4 linked regions of the Caenorhabditis elegans genome follow. The main gene of each other region encodes a partner of the protein of the gene in region 2 in a complex. Each region holds a gene or a part of one and is shown on either strand. Other genes may lie near its edges. The genes, in order: pafo-1, rtfo-1, leo-1 and ctr-9.

Region 1 (4,701 bases), 1.9 Mb from region 2:
TTTATCAGAAAGAAGTTTCTAAGAAGTTTGATACAACACATAAACAATACAGATTTAAATAAAACCAAGAAGAACACAGTGAAAGTAAATCAGTCGTACAACAATCATTAAATGGATAAAAAAGGGCTGAAAACTTTAATACGGAATAATTGAAAGATCTCTTCGGAAATATCCGCCATTGTGTGTTGCTCCTAGTTTGTTGAATGCCGCCAATATTTGTGAGGAAGATTCCTCAATCTGAAAAGGAACAATTATAACTATGAAATTCAAAAGCATGATCTTACAGTAAGTTGTCCTTTCCCTTTACTCATATCAGTTTGAACCATTCCTGGACAAATTCCAGCTGTTAAAATATGATCATCTTTTAGATCAATTGAGAGAGTTTTTGTAAACTGATTCACCGCACACTTCGTCATTCGATATGCCATTGCTTTATATTCACCAGAACCACTGGTATTTTCAGAAATTGAACCAAGAAATTCGGATGCAATATTAATGATTGCACCACGAGAAACGGAAAGTGTATCGCCTTCCTGTCGTTTCGAAGCTTTGATTATGAGTGGTACAAGGCTTTGTGTAAGCATCATTGGACCAATTGTATTTGACTCAAACAAATCCAGAACAACTTTTCGATCAGGTTTTTGTTTTGTTACATATGGAAGCATCACAGCTGCATTATTTATAAGAAGAGTTAATCCAGATTCTCCAACAATTTCAGACACTTTTTCAGCAAAATTTGCAATTGATTCATCGGATCCGAGTGAGAGTTGAAGAATGTGAAGTCGTGGATCACAAATTCCCTTGAGAGCCTGAAAAATTGGAAATTAAGAATGCCGTAGTCCAATACATGTTGTTGGGAAATTTTTACCATATACAAATATTAGGAACACAAACCTAATACAAATAACTATAATCTCAGCAACGGATAAAGTATAAATAAACTCGAAAAAACTTACAGTTGCCTTATCAACATCTCTTGCAGTCGCAATGACATGCTGAACATTTGGATCTTTCAGAAATTGTTGAACTAATCCAAATCCCAATCCTCGATTGGATCCGGTTACCACAACTGATTTTGGAGACATTTTCACTAGAATTTAAGCATAGAATTGAATTAACAGAAATCGAAAATCAATGAATGATGATTATTATTTCTTATCAATAGTATTTCTCTTCTGTTCTGCAAAATAAACAGCGTGATGAACTGCCACAATAATTAGTTTGGTTTATTGCAGTTTTTAGTTTATTTCGGAATTTCTGAGAAGAGATCAAAGAATTAGACAATGAAGAAAACTATGATAATTTCGATTTTGGTTAATACAGTTTTGCTCTTCAATCAAGTGTTGGTTGCGAACGGGGAAAATGTGAATGTAGGTTTACACAGGAGATGTTATAAAGGACTTTCCTTGGTTCTATTCCTGAGCTTTTCCAGTTGTCCCTGGGAAATTTTCTTTCAAATATTTTTAATGAAAGAGAAACGATAGACAAAAAAAGATAGACAAAAAACTAGGCGCAATTTGTTTTGCTATTGTTATGTTTTTGTAGGTTATGAGCAATTTCAAAATAAGATCTTTCTAGAAAATTGTAAAAATATTATTTCATTCAAGGTATCCTGCCCAATTTTATCCCGAACTCGACACAAAGAACTTCGAACTTTCATGTACAAAAACTGCACTTCCGGTTTCAAGACATGCTTTCAACAAATTATGCTCACTGAAATCGTTCGAAATGAGCAACACGCATTTCTATTTGCCTCTGGTTGTGCTTCGAAGGAAATTCTCAAGCCATTCAATCTAACCGAGGAAACATTCATGAAGTTATGTGACAAGAAAAAAGTGGGACGATGTGTTCATACATACCAGCATCGAGTTTATTATGGTACACTCTGCTGTGAAAGGAATTCGGAAAAAATGTTCGGATCTTGGCTGTGGGATGTTTTCTTTGGAAGTAGTGAAGAGCTAAATGCTGAAATGGAGAATACTGTTAGCTTTGTTCAGCGTGAAAGTATCGGAATGCACGATGATCATGATAATGTAGGCTTTAAAAGTTCACAACCCCACATTTATATAATTTTCCAGAAAGGAGCATTGGCTCTCTACATTGCTGGACCATTCATTGTCACCTTTATATTTACATTATTGTCCCTTTTACAATATTATCATGTTAATGATGGCATTTTGTCATAAAATAAATATTATCGTGACGAGAACGCTGGAAATTCACAAAACAAAAAATACTTTTTGAACACCCGCGCAAAACTGGTTATGCGCCATTGTTCCCTGCTGACGCGCATTGAGCGCTTGCGCAAAACCCGTGTGTGAGAGTTTGAATTTAATTCCCTCGGTGACTAGTTTTTTCGATTTGCAGCCGTTTCTGCCGATTGGTATCTTAATATTATAACTAAATTACTATAAAAAATGCCCCAAGAATCCTCAGATGCCAAAAGGATTGAACCTCCGTAAGTATTATTGTTTTGAATCGCTAGAAAAGTTTTGAAAACATTTTGCAGACGAAAAGTGGATTTCATGCTGAAACCTCGATTTACCAATACTGTTCCTGATGTCCCATTTGATGCAAAGTTTATGACTTGTCCATTTGTTCCTCTGGGAAGGTACACCAATTTTGAAACGTTTGACATTGTTCAATATCTCTGAATTTAGATTTGTCGAATTCCAACCTGCTGCCATTTATCGAGATTACAAGCATGCAGTCATTTGTGACGACGACATGGGTTTGAATGTCGATTTGATTGATCTAAAAAAATACGACGAAGATCCAATCGAAACTGTAGGTTTTTTCCTGAAATATACAGTTTCAAAGATAGAAATGTTTCACTTTTAGGAAATTGATGAGAAAGACAATATTTTACTGGAAGATGATGGCGCCGCTAAATTGATTGCAAAACGATCTCAACAGCATTCTAAACTTGTTCCATGGATGAGAAAAACCGAGTACATTTCAACTGAATTCAATCGGTTCGGTGTGACAGCCGATAGACAGGAGACGAAGCTTGGTTATAACTTGAAGAAAAATCAACAAGTTGAAGATATGTATCGTGACAAGCAGAGTCAAATTGATGCCATTAACAAGACATTTGAAGATGTAAGTACCAGAATATATTTTTTTGATTTAAATCTACTTTTGCGTATTTTAGGTTCGTAAACCCGTCAAGGAGCATTACTCCAAGAAGGGTGTAAAAGCTGTTGAAGAAAGCTTTGTCTTCCCTGATTTCGATCACTGGAAACACCTCTTTGCTCATGTACAATTTGATGGAGACACTATAACAACAGAATTCGAAGAAGAAGATGAACGACAACAAGCACGGGAGAGCAGTGTTATTAAAGCCATGGAATTCGAAGATCAAAAATTTGCAGCAGTTTTTGTTCCAACGATTGGATGTCTTACGAGTTTTATGGATGATCTTGAGTTAGAACGACCATTTGATGAGGATATGAAGTACGAATTCTTGCTAAGCCGTGAATACACATTTAAAATGGAACACTTGCCACCAAGGGATCGTGACGTCTTCATTATGTATCATCGTAATAACGTTTTCCAGTACAACGAAGTTGACTGTAATGTCAAGATGACAAGAAAACCAAAAATGGCATTGAGCAGAAAATCCAAATTGACACTCACATACCGAAATCCTTCCGAACTGGAACAAAAAGACATGAATAAAAGAGAGGCTGAGTTATACGAACAGCCAAAGACCAGAAAACAAGAGATTCTGGAAAAGATTCAAGAGAAGAAAGAAGAAGGTGGTGAGTAAATTTAAGTTTTGAAGTGTTATTTTCCACGCGAACATGCAATTTTTCAGGAGACAGTTCAGATCAGAGCAGTGATTCTGATGACGACAAGCCGCAGAAATCACGATCTGATAGCTCTTCGGACGTTTCATCAGATGACGATTCACCACGGAAAAAGGAACCGACTGTTGACAGCGACAGTGATTGATCTCAAATTTTTAAAATTGTTTTTCTATTTATTTTACCTAATCAAATTGGTTTTTCTCAGTAAACTTGATAACGATTTCAACTATTTGTTCGATTGATCTTCATGAATCTTCGCTAAAAGTGCAAGTATGATTTGACTCACAATTGAAGAAAAAACCAACAGCGGAAACACCAACACCCGCAAAGTTCTGTTTGTGTAGGTGTCTGTTGCTTGCGCTTATGTGCTCCACGTTCTATTCTTTGATTTGTCATGCGGAAGCAACAGGATCAGAGGGCAAGACGTTTAGTTTTGGGGGAAATTCGAACTACCGTTCTGATTGGAATGCGTATTGCGAAACATTGAATATATCCCGTAGCGAAAACTACAGTAATTCTTTAAATGACTACTGTAGCAATAGATTTTCGAAACTACAGTGCATTTTTTTTCCACTTCTACGACTTTAAAGGCGCGCGTATTTATACAAAATGGTCCCGTCATTGGTCTCGCCACGCGCTCAACAAATCAAAGGGATGCGCGTGGCGAGACCATTGCGCGAAAATGCGCGCGCCTTTAAAGTCGTAGAAGTTGTAAAAAAAGCACTGTATTCCAAAAGAAATTCATTTCAAAATTCCAGCCCGTAAATCGACACAAGCACTACAGTAGTCATTTCAAGAATTACTGTAGTTTTCGTGATACTTTGAGCGTCAAACATGTTACGCAATATGGATTCTCATAATTTTTTGTTCCCGGAATAAGAAAGTTTTC
Region 2 (5,682 bases):
GCTCAGCAATAGAGATTGAACGGGAATGGTTTTTGGCAAGAAGAAATAGGTGAAGCACTCAATAAAAAATAATGTGTGTCTCTAAGAGATTCAGAGAAACATTCCTCTTGTGACGTGGCACTTCAAGCATTGAACAGAGTCATATCTTTTACTTACTCCAAGAAATTTTCAAGTTATCAAATCAGTTGAATGACTGTCTAAGTCTCTTTAATTTCAGTAATGTCTAGTACTAATCATTCGAGGTGTGGCATGATTGATTTGTTTCTTTTTATTTCATTTTGGTGATGAAGAGAAGAAAGAAAATAAATTAAAATCACCTAAAATTGAAGTCAAGTAGTAATCTTCCAATCGGCTGGCAGGTAGATGAGTAATCATGATGAGTTCTAATAAAGTAGTGAACGTTGCAGGCTCATAGCCATTTCAAATATTCAAATTTTCAATATTCATTCAGAATGCGTGATGAGAGGTACGTCGTCACGCAATACAATTGCCGGTTTTGTGAGAAGGAAGAGAGATCGATTAGAATGAAAGTGATATAGAGAGGAGAAACCACTTGGCTGGATAAACATGTACTTGATGGTTAGAACTGTCGGAAAAGCAAAATGGATTGTGTTCGAGAAAATATGAACATTTGGAAAGTTTTGAGTTCTGAAGCTTTAAAAGAATAATAAGATAAAATACGTTCACAAAGTCTTTTGAAATTTTATACGGGCAACTCGGACTGAAAAAGTTAGACAATCAATGTGAAATCGGGTTTTTTACAGAAAGTCTCTATATTTAGCGTTAAATTAAAATTGAATGTTACTAATGTGAACATTTGTTGAATTGGACATCAAGATTTTGTTTCGCAATTATTTACCGTAATCTTGAAGGCGCATATACAAATATATAGAGGGCCGTAAATTGATACGAGCTACAGTAACTCGTTGTCCGAGTGGCGAGACCCCTGCGAGTAAAGTATAACCAACATTAAAATATCTAAACGTCTGCGTTATACGGAATTTTTTATGTATTAAACACAAATGAGTCTCTCTTAAAAACTCGTAGAAAGAAAACATGCAGTATTTCAATAATCAGATAACTTACCAAAATTAAACTCTGCCTCAGCTGCTCCTCCATTGTGTCGATGGGATTCGAACCGCAAATTCTTCATTTTCTTCGAAAACTTCGCTTACTACTTCTACTAATTGTCGAATGGCAACAGGAAACACGAAAAGAAAGATTATCCTTTATTTCTGATTCTCTGTATCTCCAGGTCTACCTAAACACTTTAATAGAACAACTGTTCACTAAAGAGCATTTGATCTTTCTTTTTTCGTTTTTTCTTCTCTTACATCGTTTAACCTGGAAAAGGGGTTGTATTTCCGTAAGCCATCTACCCTTGTCTCTTCTTATGTTTTTTTCTTGATTAATGGTTTTTGAGAATACTGTGAGAGCATAAGAGATTTGAAAAACCTATAAGAACACTTCGGATTCCCACAGGATGGGCACTAAAGAATTAGTTTTTCTAAACTTCAGAAAATGGGAGTGTCTCTCAATTTCCTTATCGATTATAAAAGTGTTTGGTATTTATATATAAATCCATTAAATATACATAGCTTGCACCATGACCTACAGCAACAGAAGCCAATATCCCAATTGTGTGCGACAACCTTGCAAAATAGCGTGCGCGGCTTGCAAAGTGGGCGGGACTAAATGTATTGACACTGTGCAGTTTGAATGTAAAAATTTATTCTTAATTTTCGGTATTTTCTTTGGTTTTTCGTTATTATAATTGATTTTTAATGATTCTTTATTATTATCTTAATTCAAAGAGTAGAAAAACTTTATTGCACCCGTCCTTTTTGTTTCTCGAATCCAATATTGACACATTTTTTGAGAAACTTAAGTTTTTTCTTAATTTTTCGAATATTTTCGACAAAAACGCGCATATATCATTAAAAATATGACACTTTTCCTTGTTTCTTTTATTTGTTTAAATATTTGTATGAAACCTATTGTTCGTAGCCATCTTGCAACTGTGTGTCGATATCGATTTTCCCAGAACAAATGTCAGACGCTCTACATCACTTTTATACAACCGTTTCTTCTCACCGTTCTCTAATAATTTATTCAATTCATAATTATGTTCTCAGGGTCAGTTTAATCAACAATGTCTTCCTCTGAGAGTGCTTCATCAGACGAAGAGACAAAACGCCGTGCTCCAGCCACTTCAGATTCCGATTCTGACTCAGACGCAGGTCCAAAACCTGGAAAACCTCTCAGTACCGACTCCTCGGCATCCGATTCAGATGCCGAAAAACCACAGTGAGTTTTACTGTTTTCTATCCAAAAAAAAGTTATACGAGTTTCCATTTTCAGGGCAAAGCCTGCAAAAAAGAAGACTTTAACAAAGCGAAAGCGGCGAGCTACTGGAAGTAGTGACGATGACCAAGTAGATGATGATTTATTTGCTGACAAAGAAGACAAAGCAAGATGGAAGAAATTGACAGAATTGGAAAAGGAGCAAGAAATTTTTGAAAGGATGGAGGCTCGTGAAAACGCGATTGCTCGAGAAGAAATTGCTCAACAACTTGCTAAAAAAGCAAAGAAAAGTTCTGAAAAGGGAGTCAAAACCGAAAAACGAAGGAAAATGAACAGTGGTGGAAGTGATGCAGGTTCCCCGAAACGCAAAGCTTCATCGGATTCCGATTCTGAGATGGATGCTGCTTTCCACCGACCCAGTGATGTAAGTTTATTTTTTTATTTTTCAAATAAAAATTTTTATTCCAGATTAACCGCAAACATAAAGAGAAGAATGCTATGGATGCTCTGAAGAACAAACGTAAAGAGATCGAAAAGAAAAATGCAAAAAACGAAGCACTCTCTATCGATGCTGTTTTTGGAGCTAATTCGGGATCTTCAAGTTCGTCTAGTTCAAGCGAAAGCTCTCGTTCATCATCTTCTTCCCGCGAATCATCACCAGAACGTGTATCCGAAAAAGATAAGATAGTAAAGAAAGATGTTGATGGACTTTCGGAACTTCGAAGAGCTCGATTGTCCCGTCATAAACTTTCATTGATGATTCATGCCCCATTCTTTGATTCTACTGTCGTAGGATGCTATGTTCGACTTGGACAAGGGCAAATGAGTGGCTCAGGAAGCAAATATCGGATATGGAAGATTGTCGGTGTGGAGGAATCCAACAAAGTCTACGAATTGGAAGGAAAAAAGACAAATAAAATCATAAAATGTCAGAATGGTGAGTTGTTTATTTACTTGTGAAAATTTGAAATCTGTTACAACCTTAACTGCAGGTGGATCAGAACGACCATTCCGTATGCAATTCGTTTCAAATGCTGATTTCGAACAAATTGAGTTTGATGAATGGCTTCTGGCATGTAAGAGACACGGAAATCTTCCAACCGTCGATATTATGGATAAGAAAAAACAAGATATCGAAAAAGCAATCAACCACAAGTATTCGGACAAAGAAGTCGATCTGATGATCAAGGAAAAGAGCAAATATCAAACAGTTCCACGAAATTTCGCTATGACAAAAGCTAATTGGTCCAAGCAAAAAGAGCTGGCTCAACAACGAGGTGACATTCGAGAAGCCGAACAAATTCAAACTAAAATCGATGAGATTGAACGACAAGCTGATGAATTGGAGAAAGAGCGAAGCAAGTCAATTAGTGCGATTGCGTTCATTAACCATAGGAATCGATCAAAAATAAAGGACCAAGTCCTGAGTGGGCAATTGAAGATCGAAGAGAATTCACAGGATGATCCTTTTACACGTAAGAAGGGAGGTATGCGTGTTGTTTCTGGATCTAAATCAAGACTTGACGGAACTCTTTCCGCATCTTCATCAACCACAAATTGTAAGTTAATAGGAAATATCAATTTTTTGACATAACTTTATAATTTTCAGTATCTGACGGCGGAAAAGACAAAAGTTCATCATTGGCTAAACCGACGCAACCTCCTCCATCTACTCAAATAAAGAAAAAAACTGATATATCCAGTCTGCATGACTTTGATCTAGACATCGATTTGGGTAAATTGAAGGATTTTAGTACGCCGGAATCGTCAGGAAACAAACGTCCATCAATTAGTTCTTCCAAGTTAGCACATCTTATAGTGGACTATTTTAATTGCTATATTTTCAGAGGAGTGTCACTTAGTGATTATCGAATGCGTCGATCAGGAGGTGGTGACGCTGGATCCTCCACATCAGCTGCACCATCCTCAGCAGTTTGAACTGTCTTTTTCTACATCTCTTTGATTTTCTCAGCGTTACCCCCCTCATCCCTCATCGTTACGTTTTACTTATTTTCTTTCGTTTTATAAACTGATCAAAACTTGTTCAATTCCTTCATTATACTATTCCGTTCATTTTTTCCAATTTTTGAGAACACATTTTTTTAGCTTTTAATTTCGTCAGAATAAAATAAATCGTAATAAAGATAGCAATTGCAGAATGCAAGAAATGGAACATTTTATGAATCCTTCACCGTTTGTTTTAGATCTTTCCCACTCACTGATACTCCTCACCAATCCCAAACCTTTAATTTTAAATTTTCTATGTGATTCTATTGATTTTCACCCTCATTCATCTTTTCATGTTTTATTCCTTTTTTGATTCCTTGTGACTACTGTATTCCTAGGTTAACGGATGTAAACCAAAAATCTGTGTGAATTTTTTGAAACTTTTCTAATAATTTTTCGTGCAATTAATGAATAAACTCAAAGTTCTTTTCACGTTTTTATTCCATCTTTCAGGATTAGAAACCCGGTATACAGAAATGGTTTGGAATGTGAACGAAGAATTGTAATTTAACATCTTAAGCGCTACAGCTCTTTACTCGGCTTGGCTCGAAGAAATGAGCTTTTGCTCAGTGAGCATTGACAGGCAACAGGGAGCTGGAAAGGAAGGGATTAGATTATTTCGAGATTAATACAATAAGAGAAATAAGACAAACCTGGATTTGTTCAACAATCCAATCCTCACAATTATCATCCCCTGTGTTTCGTAGAACTTTGAATGAGAGGGTCTGAATGCCACATTGACCATGAGCTGGAAATATATTTCAATCACAAATTACATGTAATCAACGGACCCCTCAGTTGAAAAACGTAGAACGCTCTCATTACGTAAACGTCCAAATTGATCATTTTCGCCATACAATACGTACATGGGTCTCGCCACGCAGACATTGACATACAGTAGCTCGTGTCGATTTACGGGGCCTACATTGTCTCATGTTTTAAATATTAGACGAACAATTGCGCCAAGACTTTTTAATATGCAAATATGAGGCAATAGCGGATCATACGTCGGCACGAGCTACAGTATCTCCTTGCACTCGTGGCGAGGTCTCCCCAATCGGGCATCGTGTTACTGTAACTCTTGCTCATTTATCTTTTAGAAATACGGGTCTCCATTGCATAATATTTTTTATTGAAAAATCTTGTCAGCGATTTTGCTTTTAATTTGAAAAAAATACGATGCAGTAGCGGGAAATGAACACGAATTACACGTGGTGTCAGATTGTCCCATTACGTTTTAATCTACAAAAAATGCGGGAATTTTTGCCGCAAAAAAAGTGATGTCAGCCCGTTCTTAACAATGCGAAAATAGTTGAGAAGTCTGCGACTAAATTCCCGCAATTCTCGTAGATCTACGTAGATCAAACCAAC
Region 3 (4,777 bases), on a different chromosome or scaffold from region 2:
GCTCTTCTCGCCTTCGAACGAGATCGTCGGCCAAATGAGGAAATTGATGCATTATGGGAACGAGCAAGAAGCAATGTTATCAAGTTAGTTTCTTTTTTGAATACATACAGTAGTCTTATATATTTATTCGGTGTAATTTCAGTTCTGCCGAAGAAGGACGGAGTCTTTACCGTACCTATGCTTTTTTGCTTCGCCGTCGAATTCATCTCACTGGTTCTTCGGATTACTCTCCAATGGCTGAAGTGTTTGATGAAGGTGCAGCGCTACTCAGAGAATGGTTTTCAATGGCTTGGGATACTACAGCAGATTATCGACAAATGCAAGCATATTTCTATGCTTCATTAATGAAGAACATGGACAAATGTCGAAATATCTGGAATGATATTCTTGCATCAGGATTCGGAAGATTTGCCGGAAAATGGATTGAAGCTGTTCGTCTTGAGCGACAATTCGGTGATAAAGAAAATGCTCGAAAATATCTAAACAAAGCTCTCAATTCTGTATCGGATAACATCAACGAAATCTATATGTACTATGTTCAATTTGAAAGAGAAGAAGGAACATTGGCTGAGTTGGATTTGGTTCTTGAGAAAGTGAATTCACAGGTTGCTCATCGAGCCATTCGACCACAAAAGAAAGTTTCTGAGAAACCAGCTCCAGCTCCTAAATCAAAGCAAGATCATATTCAGAAGAGAACGTCGGGAGGTGAACCAATTGTAAAAAAAGTGAAAGGAGACGACGGAGGTAAATAATTTTTAAAAGTAAAGAAGTTAATTTGAATTAAATTTTAGGATTCAAAGCTCCACTTCCACCATCCAATGCGAAAAGTTCATCAGCTGTATCCTCTTCAAATGCTTCGTCGACACCAGCTCCAGGTTCCTTTGCAGTTCAGAAAGCAGCTCCAGGAACGGAAGATGCTCGCACAATTTTTGTTTCTAATCTCGATTTCACTACGACGGAAGACGAAATTCGACAAGCCATTGAAGGTGTTGCTTCAATTCGATTCGCAAGAAAAGCGAATTCGGATCTTGTGCACAGAGGGTTCGCCTATGTTGTAATGGAGAATGATCAGAAGGCACAGCAAGCTCTCTTGAAAGATCGAGTTCCTGTGAAGGGAAGGCCAATGTTTGTAAGTTTTAATTTTACTTTATAAATATTTGTGAAATTTTAATTTCTGAAAATTCAGATCTCCGCCAACGATCCAGAAAAACGGGTTGGATTCAAATTCTCAACCACTCTTGAAAAATCGAAAGTCTTCGTTCGCAATGTCCACTTCCAGGCAACCGACGATGAGTTAAAGGTAATATATACTTATCTATCATTTTATATTCTAAATCGATACATTTCAGGCATTATTCTCGAAATTCGGTACAGTAACCAGTGTTCGACGCGTGACTCATAAAGATGGAAAACCAAAAGGAATCGCATTCGTAGATTTTGACACAGAAGCAAGTGCTCAAAAATGTGTTGCTTCTGGTGATAAATTGATGCTTCGAGAAAGAGAACTAGAGGTAGCGTTATCCAATCCACCAGTAAAAAAGGATAAATCGCATGGAAAACCAGCAGCAATTGGAGCAAGTTTGGAAGAAGATGGACCTAGAAAAGGACATGCTGCAAAACTGCAATTGGTTCCCAGAGCTATTAGTAAGTATATCATCTTTAGTTCCCAGCTTAGCATAAAAAAATCCATTTTCAGCAAACAAAACTCCTCAAATCACTGCTCGGCTGGACGCAATGGATGTTTCCGAAGGCACTTCAACGTCTCAGCCACTTTCAAATGATCAATTCCGTAAAATGTTTATGAAAAATTAGGGCCGTTTTTCACCAGAAACTTTCATTGTTCATATCAAGATTCATTTAGTTATTTAATTTCTATTACGTTCCCCAGTGTCTCCTTTCCAATTAAAATTCCGGTAGATGCTATTTTTGATGTTCTCGCTATAATTATATTTGTTCTTCACTACGAATTGCAAGATTTAGTTTCATAACTGTTCATAATCCTTGTTTTCTTTTTGTTTGCTAATAATTTGTAATAGAGATCCCCCAATATTCATTTTCAACTTATTGCCTATGGATAAGAAAATCTGAATTTTCAACAACTACTTTTATTATTCAATTTTTATCGGTATATTCGACCCCAAATTATTACTTTGTTTTGCTACTTTCGCTATTCAAAGAACTTAGGTATGCAATATTTTCAATTCAGATGTCATCTTCTGAGGGTAATTCTGACGCTTCTGCACCAGGAACACCAGTTAAATCGTAAGTAAATGGTAATTGTGTTTCTAAAATAATATAATTCAATTCAGATCAACTCCATCTTCTCGTGGATCGTCGCCAGATTCACCAAAAAAACAAGAACCGTCTAAGAAAAGAGCGATATTAAATGAGTCCGACGATGATGATGATTCTCGTCCTGCTCCTCGACAATTGTCCGATTCTTCTGACGATAACATTCATCCGAGAGGAGGAGGTGAAAAGAGTTCCCCCGGTGCTGGTGGTGGTTTGTTCGGTGATCTCTCTGGCTCTTCCGACGATGATTCCGACAGAGAAGGAAAGCCGAAAGAATCAAATACAAGAGCACGATTGTCAGATTCCGATGCGGAGAGTCGTGGAAGTTTGAATGATTTGCAAGGAATTGTGATGGCTAATCCAGATGAAATAGATGAAGATGAAAAAGCAAAGGAGCATGTTCATGATACTGAAGTAAACATTTTCAATGAAATAATGTGATTAAAACATTGATTTTCCAGATGGTAACAGGTCGTGTTACTTTGGAGTACGCTGCAGATCCACCACATTTTGTCAGAATGCCAAACTTTCTATCAGTCGCCACTCATCCATTTGATCCACAACATTACGAGGAAGACGAAGATGATGAGCAGGCGAAATTGGATGATGAAGGACGAACACGTCTCAAATTGAGAGTATGTCTGTGTTATAAATACATCTCATCAAATATACAATTTTTAAGGTGGAAAATACACTTCGCTGGCGAGTTCGCAAAGATGAAAATGGAAAAGAAATTCGAGAGAGTAATGCAAAAATTGTAAAATGGGACGATGGAACGTTAGTTTTCAATTGATGCAAAATTTCCATATCGTGACTTAATTTCAGAATGTCTCTATACCTCGGAAACGAAATTTTCGAAGTCTCATTGGTGCCGCTGAATTCCAATAATCTTCCCCATCTTTACGTTAAGCAGCCAACATTAATGGTATTTTGATTGTTAATGTTTTTATTTTAATCAAAATTTATGTCATTTTTAGTCGGCTCAAGCTGTTCTTACACATCGTATGACCTTCCGTCCTCACTCGACTGATTCCCAAACTCACAGAAAAGTCACACTCAATATGGCAGATCGAAGCAGGAAGAATGCTCAAGTTAAAGTCATGGACGATGTTGGTCAGAATCCGGAAATTACACGGCGTGAGAATGCCCGGAAGGAGGAAGAATCACTTCGTGCACACATCCGACGTACTCAGATGGTTCGGAATAACTTTAAAGTTCGTGGTCCGAGATATGCAGGACAATATTCTGATGATGAAGATATGCCAACGTCATCCAGAAAAGGAAAGAAGAAGGAAGCACCAATTATTGGTAAGTTCAATTTAATTTTGATTAGGACTTTACCAGAATAAAGAAACTGTACTACAATAATATATTTCAGGTGCCAGCTCAGAAAGTGAGGACGATCATGCGGATACCACAAAGAAAAGCGGATCGGATAGCGATTCTGATGAAGAGTACCGAAAGAGAAAACAACAACAAAAGAAACAGATTGTCACCAGTGACGAAGAATCTGACTAAATTTATTTCAATTTTGATCCTCACAATTTTATATTTCGCGAATTCAATATTTCTCCCTTTACAATATTTCGAAAATGTTTTCCTTTCCTTATTTATTTTAGTCTTCGATATTTCGAGATAATGAAACATCCACAATATTATGAAAAACCGAGCTTTTATTTCTTAATTTCAATCAGATTGTATGTAATATTTAAAATCATACATCCACTACGTCTTCCTCGCTTCTCAAAGAATTGGCATCAAGTGTCGTATCATAAATTCTGAAACTTGAAATAATCTACGATTTCAGAATTCTCAAAATCAAACCTCCGTGTTTTATCGTTTTCCATTGCTCTTGGGGAAATCGATACATTTAATATCAACTGAGCTTCTTCTTGATTTCCAGAGCTTCTCGATCGCAGTAAAAACATCAATATAATGATTTGAAAGAAGATTCCATAAATTAAAATTCGAAAAACTATAGGTTTTGACTTTTGATTCCAGAGTATTTTAAACATCTTTGTGGAAAATGTAGGAAATGATTTTTCACGTTTGATAAAGAAACTGACTAATAAATTTTTACATCTAACAACAAATCTTTGAATCAATCATATTATAATATACACGGAACCACTATGTCCGAAAGATTTAAAATTTAAAAAAATTGAAATTGAAAAAAGTATTCATTGAATATTAAAATGGATTTGAGGATATTTGTGGCCCTAAAGAGGGCCGTTGGGTTCGGTTAAGTTTTGAGATTAAGCTTGCTCAACTACCAAAAAAGGTATTTAAGCGCGCTCTCCTCGGATGCGTCTGGCCAATTGGATATCCTTTGGCATGATGGTGACTCGCTTAGCGTGGATGGCACACAAGTTGGTGTCCTCGAAGAGTCCGACAAGGTAAGCCTCGGCAGCCTCCTGAAGAGCCATGACAGCGGAAGATTGGAATCGAAGATCGGTCTTGAAATCCTGAGCAATCTCACGAACAA
Region 4 (8,116 bases), on a different chromosome or scaffold from region 2:
TGGAAGTTGAAGGCCATTTCCAAGTCAAGTCCAACGAACTCGGTCATATGACGATGGGTGTTAGAATCTTCAGCACGGAATACTGGACCAATAGTGTAGACCTTTTCAAAATCTCCGGCAATAGCCATTTGCTTATAGAGTTGTGGAGATTGAGCCAAGTAGGCGGATCCTTTGAAATAGGAAACTTCGAAAACATTGGCTCCACCCTCACTTGGCGCAGAGATAATTTTTGGAGCCATGATCTCCACGAATCCTCTAACATCGAGAATGTTTCTGAACTGATTACAAATTCCGGCTTGAATTCTGAAGATAGCATGAGAGGTTGGCGTACGAAGATCGATGACACGGTTGTCAAGTCTTGTATCGAGATTAACAACAGCCAATTGATTCTCCTGCTCGCTGGCTTTCTCTTCGTCAGTTGGTGCTCTGCGTGATGCATCCTCAATTTGGAGCGGAAGCTTTGGAGCAGAAGTTGAAACGACAAATACTTGTTGAGCAAGTAGTTCGACATCCTTTTGTGTGCAAGATTCAATTGGATTGTCAACCTTGTTGATAGTAGCATAAACGTCAACAATAGACTCCTTTGAGATAGAAGAAACAAACTTCAACATTTGCTTGCTAATCTTTTCGTTCATAAACATTGCTACTTGAACGGTGTAGACTCCCTGACGGAGAACGAGGAAGCAATTCTTTCCCTTCGATCGAGTAGTGTGAATGCGCCCACGGACCCAAACCTACAAAAATGTGAATAAGATGAGCATATCCTCTGTTAAAACTCACGTCTTTTGTTGCGTTGGAAACGTTGATCTCCTTGACTTTCAGAAAGTTCAACACCTTCTTTTCCTTAGAGTTAACAAGCCCATATGATCCATAAAAGTCTTTGGATGCGTCTTCTTGGTCCATAGCGGCAGCCTGTTGTTGGTTTCCTCCTTTCTGAATTTATATTGCTTAGTTGCGAAATATTTCAAAATAGCATTTGAGGTTATAGAAAATTATTTACTTTAAAAATAAATAGCTCAACAGAATTTTCAATAACTCTATAAATTTAGACTAAACCCTATTTTAACGAGCATAGTTAACAAAATCTCACCTCTCCAGCTTTCTCATCTTTCTTAGCTTTTCTAGCAAGCTTATTGAGCTCCTTCTTGGAGAGTTTTGGTTGTTCACCTTCGGCAGCATCAGCCATTATCACCTGAAACAAATTAGCATCTATAAAACCAATGAAAAATTAAATTTTAGCTTGAAAATAAGGAATTTGTTTACAATTTGGGCTGAAAATGATGAAGTGTGTATGCGCGTCAGTTCTGATGTTTGTGCTCTCTGCGTACAATGCGTTACACTTCACGCGCATCGCGCCTCGTTCGAAAAGATATTTTTTGCATCCTGTTTTTCTCAATTTCTTCTTGAATTTCAAAGTTAAACGTTATTTAATCTTTATATTTTATTCATTTGCTTATTCTTTTTGTAAGAATTAAAGTGAGTTTATCATAAATCCATGATTTATTCTGCATCAGCGCTTGGAAAGTCTACTACCACGTTTAATCTTTAAAATTCCCAATCTTGGGTACTATTACTTGAATATTTGTCAAGAAAGATCTAATTTGTGTTTTTTACAGGTCAGAAAGTCCAAGGAGATGGACGAAAGTATTGATGATGTGCAAGAGACCAGAACAATCGCTATTCCATTGAAAGACAGTCACGAAGATGTAAGTTTTTGTTTCAAAAGTGTTCATAATTTCAAAAATCGATCGTTGTTGTTTCTTAGTGAGGAAATTTGGGAATATTGATTCATCATGTCGGTAGGACTTTCAAATTTCGAATTTATTTCAGCCAACCGACTTGATTTATCGATATTTTTGAATTTCAGGGTACGCACTTAAAACGTCTCCGCCGTTTCTCAATCGAAGTCTGGAATTTAATGCAAAACTGGGCGACAGCTTCTGAAAAATCAGTCCAATATTTGGAATCATTAGTTAATTCACGTCTGAAACTGCTATATTCGCGAGAAGTTGATGTAGAGGAGTCTGCAAAACTAACAAAAGATCAATCTGATCGTGTTCTCAATGAGATTGTTGTTATGAATTCAAAACTGAATCAAACTATGAGTGATTTTGAGAAAGTTATTGGAAAATTCGAAGTTGCACAAGGACGAATGTCAGCTTGGAAGCAATTGACCGAAAAAAGTCAAAATATTGAAGAAAAGTACATTGTGGAGACCCTTGACGAGAATTTGCCGTTAATAATTACAATGCTTAAGAAAGAATTGAAAGTGAAGCAAGACGTGCTCTTCGATTTCGCTCAAAATGACAGCCGGGACGTATTTACTCTTGTCCTTCTCACATTTAAACATGAACCATTTGTTGATGTCGCCCTTCTTTCCAAATTATTCGCATTAGTGGCCTCCGAAGCACAATGATCGATTTTTATTAAATATTATATTGTTTAAAAAAAACGTTTTTTATGTTTGTTCGTGAAATAAAATCTTGAAAAATTAATTTTCTGAATCAAATAATGAAAAACTTATTCAGGAAGTAATTGAAATCAACTGCTCCGAGCTCCCCGATGGCGAAGAAGTCCTTCAAATTTTGGAAGCAGAAGAAGCAAAGTTATCGTATTGGATTGAAGTTGCTCTCGAATATTACAGACAAGATCGTGTTGATCTATTCATGATGATTCTAGAATCTGCTGGATCTCGTGCTGGATTGGAGTATGAAGGAGTAAAACAGGATCAAATGAGAGCATTGGATATACTTGCTGCCTACTGGATGACTCAAGGTTACAGAGAGAAGGCCAAGGACAAGAAAAGTGATTTCTTCTCGAAAGCTACAGTTCTTTTCAACACAGCCGATAAAATTGCGATGTATGAATGGTCTCACTTGACAGTTCGTGCTTGGTTTTATCTTTTTGAACGAGATAAAAGTACAAACAAGTATGAACTTGCTGATCAACAATTCAATTATGTCGTTAAAACCAATCCGAAGAATGTGCTCCCGTTGATTGGAAAAGCTGTAATCGCATTCAATAAAAAGGATTATAAAACTGCAATCTATTACTTTCGAAAAGCAATTCGACAATGTCGTCACACAATCGCAGATCTTCGAGTCGGAATCGGTCACTGCTTCGCTAAAATGGGAATGATGGACAAAGCGAAAACGGCATTCGAAAGAGCCATGGAAATTGAACCATATAATGTATCGGCCATGTGTGGTTTGGGAATTATTCTGTTGAACACGTACGACCATGACAGCCTCAAACACGCAGTCAGTTTGTTTGGAAGATCTTATAATTTACAAACTGATCATCCAGTTGCTCTTATTCATCTTGCTAATCATTTCTTTTTCAAAAAAGAAATTGAGCGTGCATGGACACTTGCCTGGCATGCAGCAACGTATAATGATTGTGATTCGATAAAAGCTGAAGCTTTCTATCAAATGGGAAGATGCAGGCATGCACAAGGGCAATTTGACGGTGCTTATAAGGTTTGTTTTTGAGTTTTCAAATCATAAACTAAAAATATAAAATTAAAAACTCGAAAGAAACCCCGGAATTTTGTCATTGAATCCTGAAAGCAATCGAAAAATCAAATGATTTTTATGTTAAAAAAAGCTTCAGAAAAAATGCACGGAAATATTCTAGAATTTTGAAATTTTCTTATTTCGTGTCTCGAAAGACATTGCTCTAAATTCTCAAAAAGTCCTTTTTTTTTAAGTTTCATATTTTTCCAATTTACGAAAGCTTCGACTGAAAATATTCAAAAATCTACCTAAAATTTTTGTGTTTTGGCCATTTTGGAATATTATACGTGTAAAATCCTACTTTCAGTACTACTACCAAGCTCGACAAGCAAACAATGGAGAGCACACCCTTGCTCACTATGGACTTGGTCAAATGTACATTCATCGAAATGAAATTGAAGAAGCAATCAAATGCTTCGATACTGTTCATAAACGATTGCCAAACAATACAGACACGATGAAAATTCTTGGAAGTCTATATGCTCATGTTCAGCTAAACGATCCGGCACAAACAGCAGAAGCACGGCAAAAGGGACGGGATGTTCTTGGAAAATATCTGGCAGTTGAAAATGATGACTATGAAGCATGCATCGACTTGGCTCAACTTCTCGAAGCAACAGATCCAAAACGATCTCTGGAATTGTATGAAAATGCAATCGACTTGCTTGTAACAAATGAGAGTATTCAACCACAACCCGAAATGCTCAACAACGTCGGTGCTTTGTATATGTCAATGAAGCAATATGAAAAAGCTGAACATCACTTCAAAAGAGCTAAAGAACGTCTTGAAGAACAATTGAATACTGATGAAGGGTCTCTACTTTTAGAACGTAGAAGTGCTCCTGAAAAATCGCACCTTCTCACAATTCGTTACAATTTGGCTCTGTGCTTGGAGCATCTTTGTCGTACTGTTGAAGCCGAACAAATGTACAAGGATATTGTGAAAGAATGTCCTGGATATATTGATGGATATCTTCGTCTTGGATGTATCACTCGTGATCGTCATCAAGTCTATGAATCGTCTTTGTGGTTGAAACAAGGCGTTCAATTTGATCAAGCATCACCAATTGTTTGGACTCTTATTGGAAATCTTCATTTTGCAAAGAATGAATGGATGCCTGCCCAGAAGAAGTTTGAATTCATTTTGTCGAAGATTTTCAACAACAAAATTCCTGATCCATACTCGCTGGTAGCTCTTGGTAATGTGTGGTTCGAGCAGCTTCTCAATCCATCAAGGAAAAAGGAAGATGTAGGTTTTTTATTGCTTTATCACTTGCATTCTGAAATTTATTCATATTAAATTTTATAATCGATACCATTTTGTACTTAACTATTAAAGAATGAACAATATATTTAATTTTTATTTTCAAACAATTTAATAATATTTTGTTTCAGGAGAAAAAGTACATTGACCGAGCTCTCCAAATGTATCAAAAAGCATTGAAACTTCAACCAAAAAACATGTATGCTGCAAATGGAATCGGATGTGTGCTTGCTTATAAAAGAAACTGGAATGATGCTCGAGATGTTTTCAGTCAAGTTCGCGAGTCTACCAGTGAATTCTACGATGTCTGGCTCAATATAGCTCACGTTTGCATGGAACGAGAGCAATGGATGGCTGCTGTTCAGATGTATTCGTCTGCGATGAAAAAATTTCGAAAGGAGAATGACTCGACATTGCAACACTATCTTGCAAAGGCCTATTACCGAGCAAATATGTTGAATGAAGCCAAGGAAGCACTTGAATGTGCAATGCTTGATCAATTGGATAATACCCAATTGAAATTTAACTATGCTATTGTATTGAAGAAATCTGCAAAAGAAGTACTTCGAGGTCACAAAATGACATCAGAACAAGTGACTGCGGCTATAGATGATCTCAAATTCGCCGACAAAATTTTCCAATACATCTCTAAAAATGATGATCGTCAATCGAGCCATACTGGAATGCGAATATCGAGAACAATCTGCGCAGAAGAAGCTAAAAATTGCAAGGATTTGTTAACTCAAGCAAAGCATAAATTAGCAGCTGCACAGACTCAAGATGAAGAAGAACGTCGTCTTATGGAGAAGCAAGAGAAAGAGAAGATAGCATTGCAGAACAAGATGATTGAGGAAGCTCGTGCTAAGGAAGAAGCTGAAAAACAGAAGCTCGAAGATATGAAGAATCTTAGATTATCATTCATAGAAATGACAAAAGATGTTCTCAGACTTCCAGAAATTGTCGAAGAAAAGAGAAGAGGAGGTGGTGGACGGAAACGACGAAATGATGATGGTGATGAGTTTGTTAATGATAGTTCTGATGCTGGAAATTATGATGGAGAGGAAGGAGGTGAAGATGGTGAACGAAGAGAACGAAGGAAGAAGGATAAGGCAGCAAAGAAGGCATCCAGGAAGAAGAGAGAACGTAGAGATAGTGGTGGACCTGATTCGAACAGAAGAGATGAGAAAAAGAGAAAGAGGAAGGAAGAGAGGGATCGAAAACTACAGGAGAAGCTCTCAGCAAAACAATCAGCAAAGATAAAATCTCGTGCATTCTTATCTTCATCGGAATCTTCTGATGATGACAAACCAAAGCCTGCTGCTGATTCATCGGATGATGAGGTTGATCCGCGGCCGCCAGTTGATGAGTTTGGTTAGTTTATTGATTTCTGATTTTCAAAAAATTCCATTTTTTGCAGATAGTCCAACCCGAACTGACAGTGATAGTGATCGTGAGACAACTACAAAAAAGAAAAAGAAGAAGGCTGTTGTGGATTCTGATGAAGGATCAGTCTCCGGATCTGGCTCTGGATCGGATAATGATGATAAGCCAATTATTGGAGGTTCTGATGGTAATCATAGATTTGAAAAAAAAAACGACAACCGAGGATGTCGCCTTCTGAAAATACCTGATTATTTCAAATATCTCAAAATCGAAAAAAATACTAATATTTTTATTTTGAAAAATATTAATCAAAAAACGAAAATTTTTCGATTTTTAGTTTTATTCAGTTTTTATTCAGTGATAATCGGAAAAAACTTCAAACAATGTTTGGAACATTTGAAAATATTAAATTTTAAACATTTTTTCGAAATACCTGAAATCGCAAAAAAAAAAGAAAAAAAAACACTTACAAATTTTTTAAAGGAAAATTACAAACCATTTCAAAATTGTACTAAAATTTAGACTATTATCGCACAAATGAAATTTTTTCAAATTTTCGGAAAATCGTATACAAAATGTTGAAATTTTCAGATGATGATGATGATAAACCTGCTGGTGGAAACTCCAGGGACAGTGATGGAAGTGATGCTCCGAAAAAGAAGGTTATCGAGAGCGACAGCGACTGAACCAATTTTTTTTAAATTTAAAGTTTTTATTTATTTTTGTTGTTCACAAATGTTTTATTTGTACTCTTTGTAAATCTAGCATCTTGTGCTCGTTCTCACAATACATTCTCCCGTTTTTAATCACCGAGTCCAAGACTTTCAATCTTTGACATGAATTCATTTATCAAACAAATAATGGTACCTGTGAGTTCGTTTTCGTTAGTCGCAGAGTTTTCGATTACAATTTGAGACCAGTTTTCGTGAGGAGCGAGGGCATTTAGGACTAGAAGGAGGGAGCAAAGAAAGCATGAAACAATAGGACGAATTAAAGAATACGAGATAGCAAGAAATATAAAATAATTGGAAGATAAAATGTAGAATAATAATAAGAAGAAGATCCAATTGGTTGAGATTGTGTAACTGGAGGAAGGGATGCTGTCGTTGTTTCCAAAATACGTTCTTCCACAATTCCTGAATAATTTAACGTTTATTGGGGTTTTGAAGATAAGTGAAGCATATTACACAACAATTGCAATTTTTGACGCAAAAATACGGTACCCGGTCTCGACACGACAAAGTTTTGTCAAATACAAACTGGGGTCTTCAAAAAGCACTGTAATTTGAAATTTTCGTTGTTGTGAGTTTTTCTCACGATTTGGTTAAATTTACGTTTTTTTTTAAATTTAAGCTTCCATAATGGAGTTATTCAAGTAGTGTCGGAAAGTTGAAAAGTGTAGAAAAATTACGTCACAACTGTATAAAAACATGTATTTTTATACATTTGTGACGTCACAAATGTATTTAAATACATTTTTCTACATTACTTGAATAACCCCATAACGATAAAATATGAAAAATTCATGAAAATTCATTTTGGTTTTGAAAAAGGCGTGTCGAGACCGTGGAACAAAAATCTCAAAATTTCGCGTCGAGGTTAATACCGGAAAGCATTGAGAAGCATGCATTGGACAATTTTTAGGAGGAAAATTCATTTAAATTTTATTATAAGGACGCAGCCCATAAACGTTGGGTCTCGTTAGGTATTCGACGGCAAAATTCTGAATTTCGTTTTATCAATTTAAAAATAAAGAAACTACGGAAAACATGTTAAAAATAGGAAAAATGATTACAAGCGAGTGATATCTGCAAAAATAATTGAAAACGTTTGAATTTCTGGTTTTGCCGCCAAAACATAACGAGGCTCAACGTTTAGGGGCGGAGCGTTTTCAGTTCACCGTGTAGAGCGCTTTTACGTATTCATTTATTCTACGTCCCCATAATACAGTTTT

Evidence for each region.
Region 1: rtfo-1 (region 2) and pafo-1 share a complex: the UniProt entries of both Caenorhabditis elegans proteins name them as parts of the PAF1 complex.
Region 3: rtfo-1 (region 2) and leo-1 share a complex: the UniProt entries of both Caenorhabditis elegans proteins name them as parts of the PAF1 complex.
Region 4: rtfo-1 (region 2) and ctr-9 share a complex: the UniProt entries of both Caenorhabditis elegans proteins name them as parts of the PAF1 complex.

What each region holds. Positions count from the first base shown.
Region 1 is NC_003283.11:11,519,349-11,524,049, forward strand, and holds pafo-1 (RNA polymerase II-associated factor 1 homolog), read left to right. Parts: upstream 1-2,354; 5' UTR 2,355-2,417; coding exon 2,418-2,458; intron 2,459-2,509; coding exon 2,510-2,611; intron 2,612-2,660; coding exon 2,661-2,787; intron 2,788-2,841; coding exon 2,842-3,102; intron 3,103-3,154; coding exon 3,155-3,764; intron 3,765-3,820; coding exon 3,821-3,957; 3' UTR 3,958-4,036; downstream 4,037-4,701. Other genes in the region: C55A6.7 (DeHydrogenases, Short chain), read right to left, coding at 136-237, 285-809, 957-1,085; C55A6.11 (uncharacterized protein), read left to right, coding at 1,284-1,370, 1,608-2,033, 2,079-2,186. UniProt on the Caenorhabditis elegans protein: Component of the PAF1 complex which is a multifunctional complex involved in transcription initiation via genetic interactions with TATA-binding proteins, elongation and transcription-coupled histone modification.
Region 2 is NC_003283.11:9,579,098-9,584,779, reverse strand, and holds rtfo-1 (RNA polymerase-associated protein RTF1 homolog), read left to right. Parts: upstream 1-2,135; 5' UTR 2,136-2,152; coding exon 2,153-2,307; intron 2,308-2,361; coding exon 2,362-2,728; intron 2,729-2,772; coding exon 2,773-3,241; intron 3,242-3,296; coding exon 3,297-3,863; intron 3,864-3,913; coding exon 3,914-4,106; intron 4,107-4,151; coding exon 4,152-4,242; 3' UTR 4,243-4,739; downstream 4,740-5,682. Other genes in the region: F25B3.2 (CTCK domain-containing protein), read right to left, coding at 4,834-4,905, 4,965-5,059. UniProt on the Caenorhabditis elegans protein: Component of the PAF1 complex which is a multifunctional complex involved in transcription initiation via genetic interactions with TATA-binding proteins, elongation and transcription-coupled histone modification.
Region 3 is NC_003282.8:11,326,799-11,331,575, reverse strand, and holds leo-1 (RNA polymerase-associated protein LEO1), read left to right. Parts: upstream 1-2,206; coding exon 2,207-2,262; intron 2,263-2,309; coding exon 2,310-2,706; intron 2,707-2,753; coding exon 2,754-2,927; intron 2,928-2,974; coding exon 2,975-3,069; intron 3,070-3,117; coding exon 3,118-3,217; intron 3,218-3,269; coding exon 3,270-3,600; intron 3,601-3,670; coding exon 3,671-3,810; 3' UTR 3,811-3,955; downstream 3,956-4,777. Other genes in the region: sart-3 (Spliceosome associated factor 3, U4/U6 recycling protein), read left to right, coding at 1-83, 143-744, 792-1,129, 1,187-1,300, 1,350-1,644, 1,697-1,812; B0035.21 (Kinesin motor domain-containing protein), read right to left, coding at 4,007-4,070, 4,117-4,220; his-45 (Histone H3), read right to left, coding at 4,578-4,777. UniProt on the Caenorhabditis elegans protein: Component of the PAF1 complex which is a multifunctional complex involved in transcription initiation via genetic interactions with TATA-binding proteins, elongation and transcription-coupled histone modification.
Region 4 is NC_003281.10:9,490,024-9,498,139, forward strand, and holds ctr-9 (RNA polymerase-associated protein CTR9), read left to right. Parts: upstream 1-1,616; 5' UTR 1,617-1,634; coding exon 1,635-1,706; intron 1,707-1,867; coding exon of another isoform or gene 1,868-2,416; exon of another isoform or gene 2,417-2,495; intron 2,496-2,528; coding exon 2,529-3,479; intron 3,480-3,822; coding exon 3,823-4,764; intron 4,765-4,910; coding exon 4,911-6,150; intron 6,151-6,196; coding exon 6,197-6,349; intron 6,350-6,753; coding exon 6,754-6,848; 3' UTR 6,849-7,021; downstream 7,022-8,116. Other genes in the region: dars-1 (Aspartate--tRNA ligase, cytoplasmic), read right to left, coding at 1-734, 781-933, 1,091-1,186; sod-4 (Superoxide dismutase [Cu-Zn]), read right to left, coding at 7,153-7,298. UniProt on the Caenorhabditis elegans protein: Component of the PAF1 complex which is a multifunctional complex involved in transcription initiation via genetic interactions with TATA-binding proteins, elongation and transcription-coupled histone modification.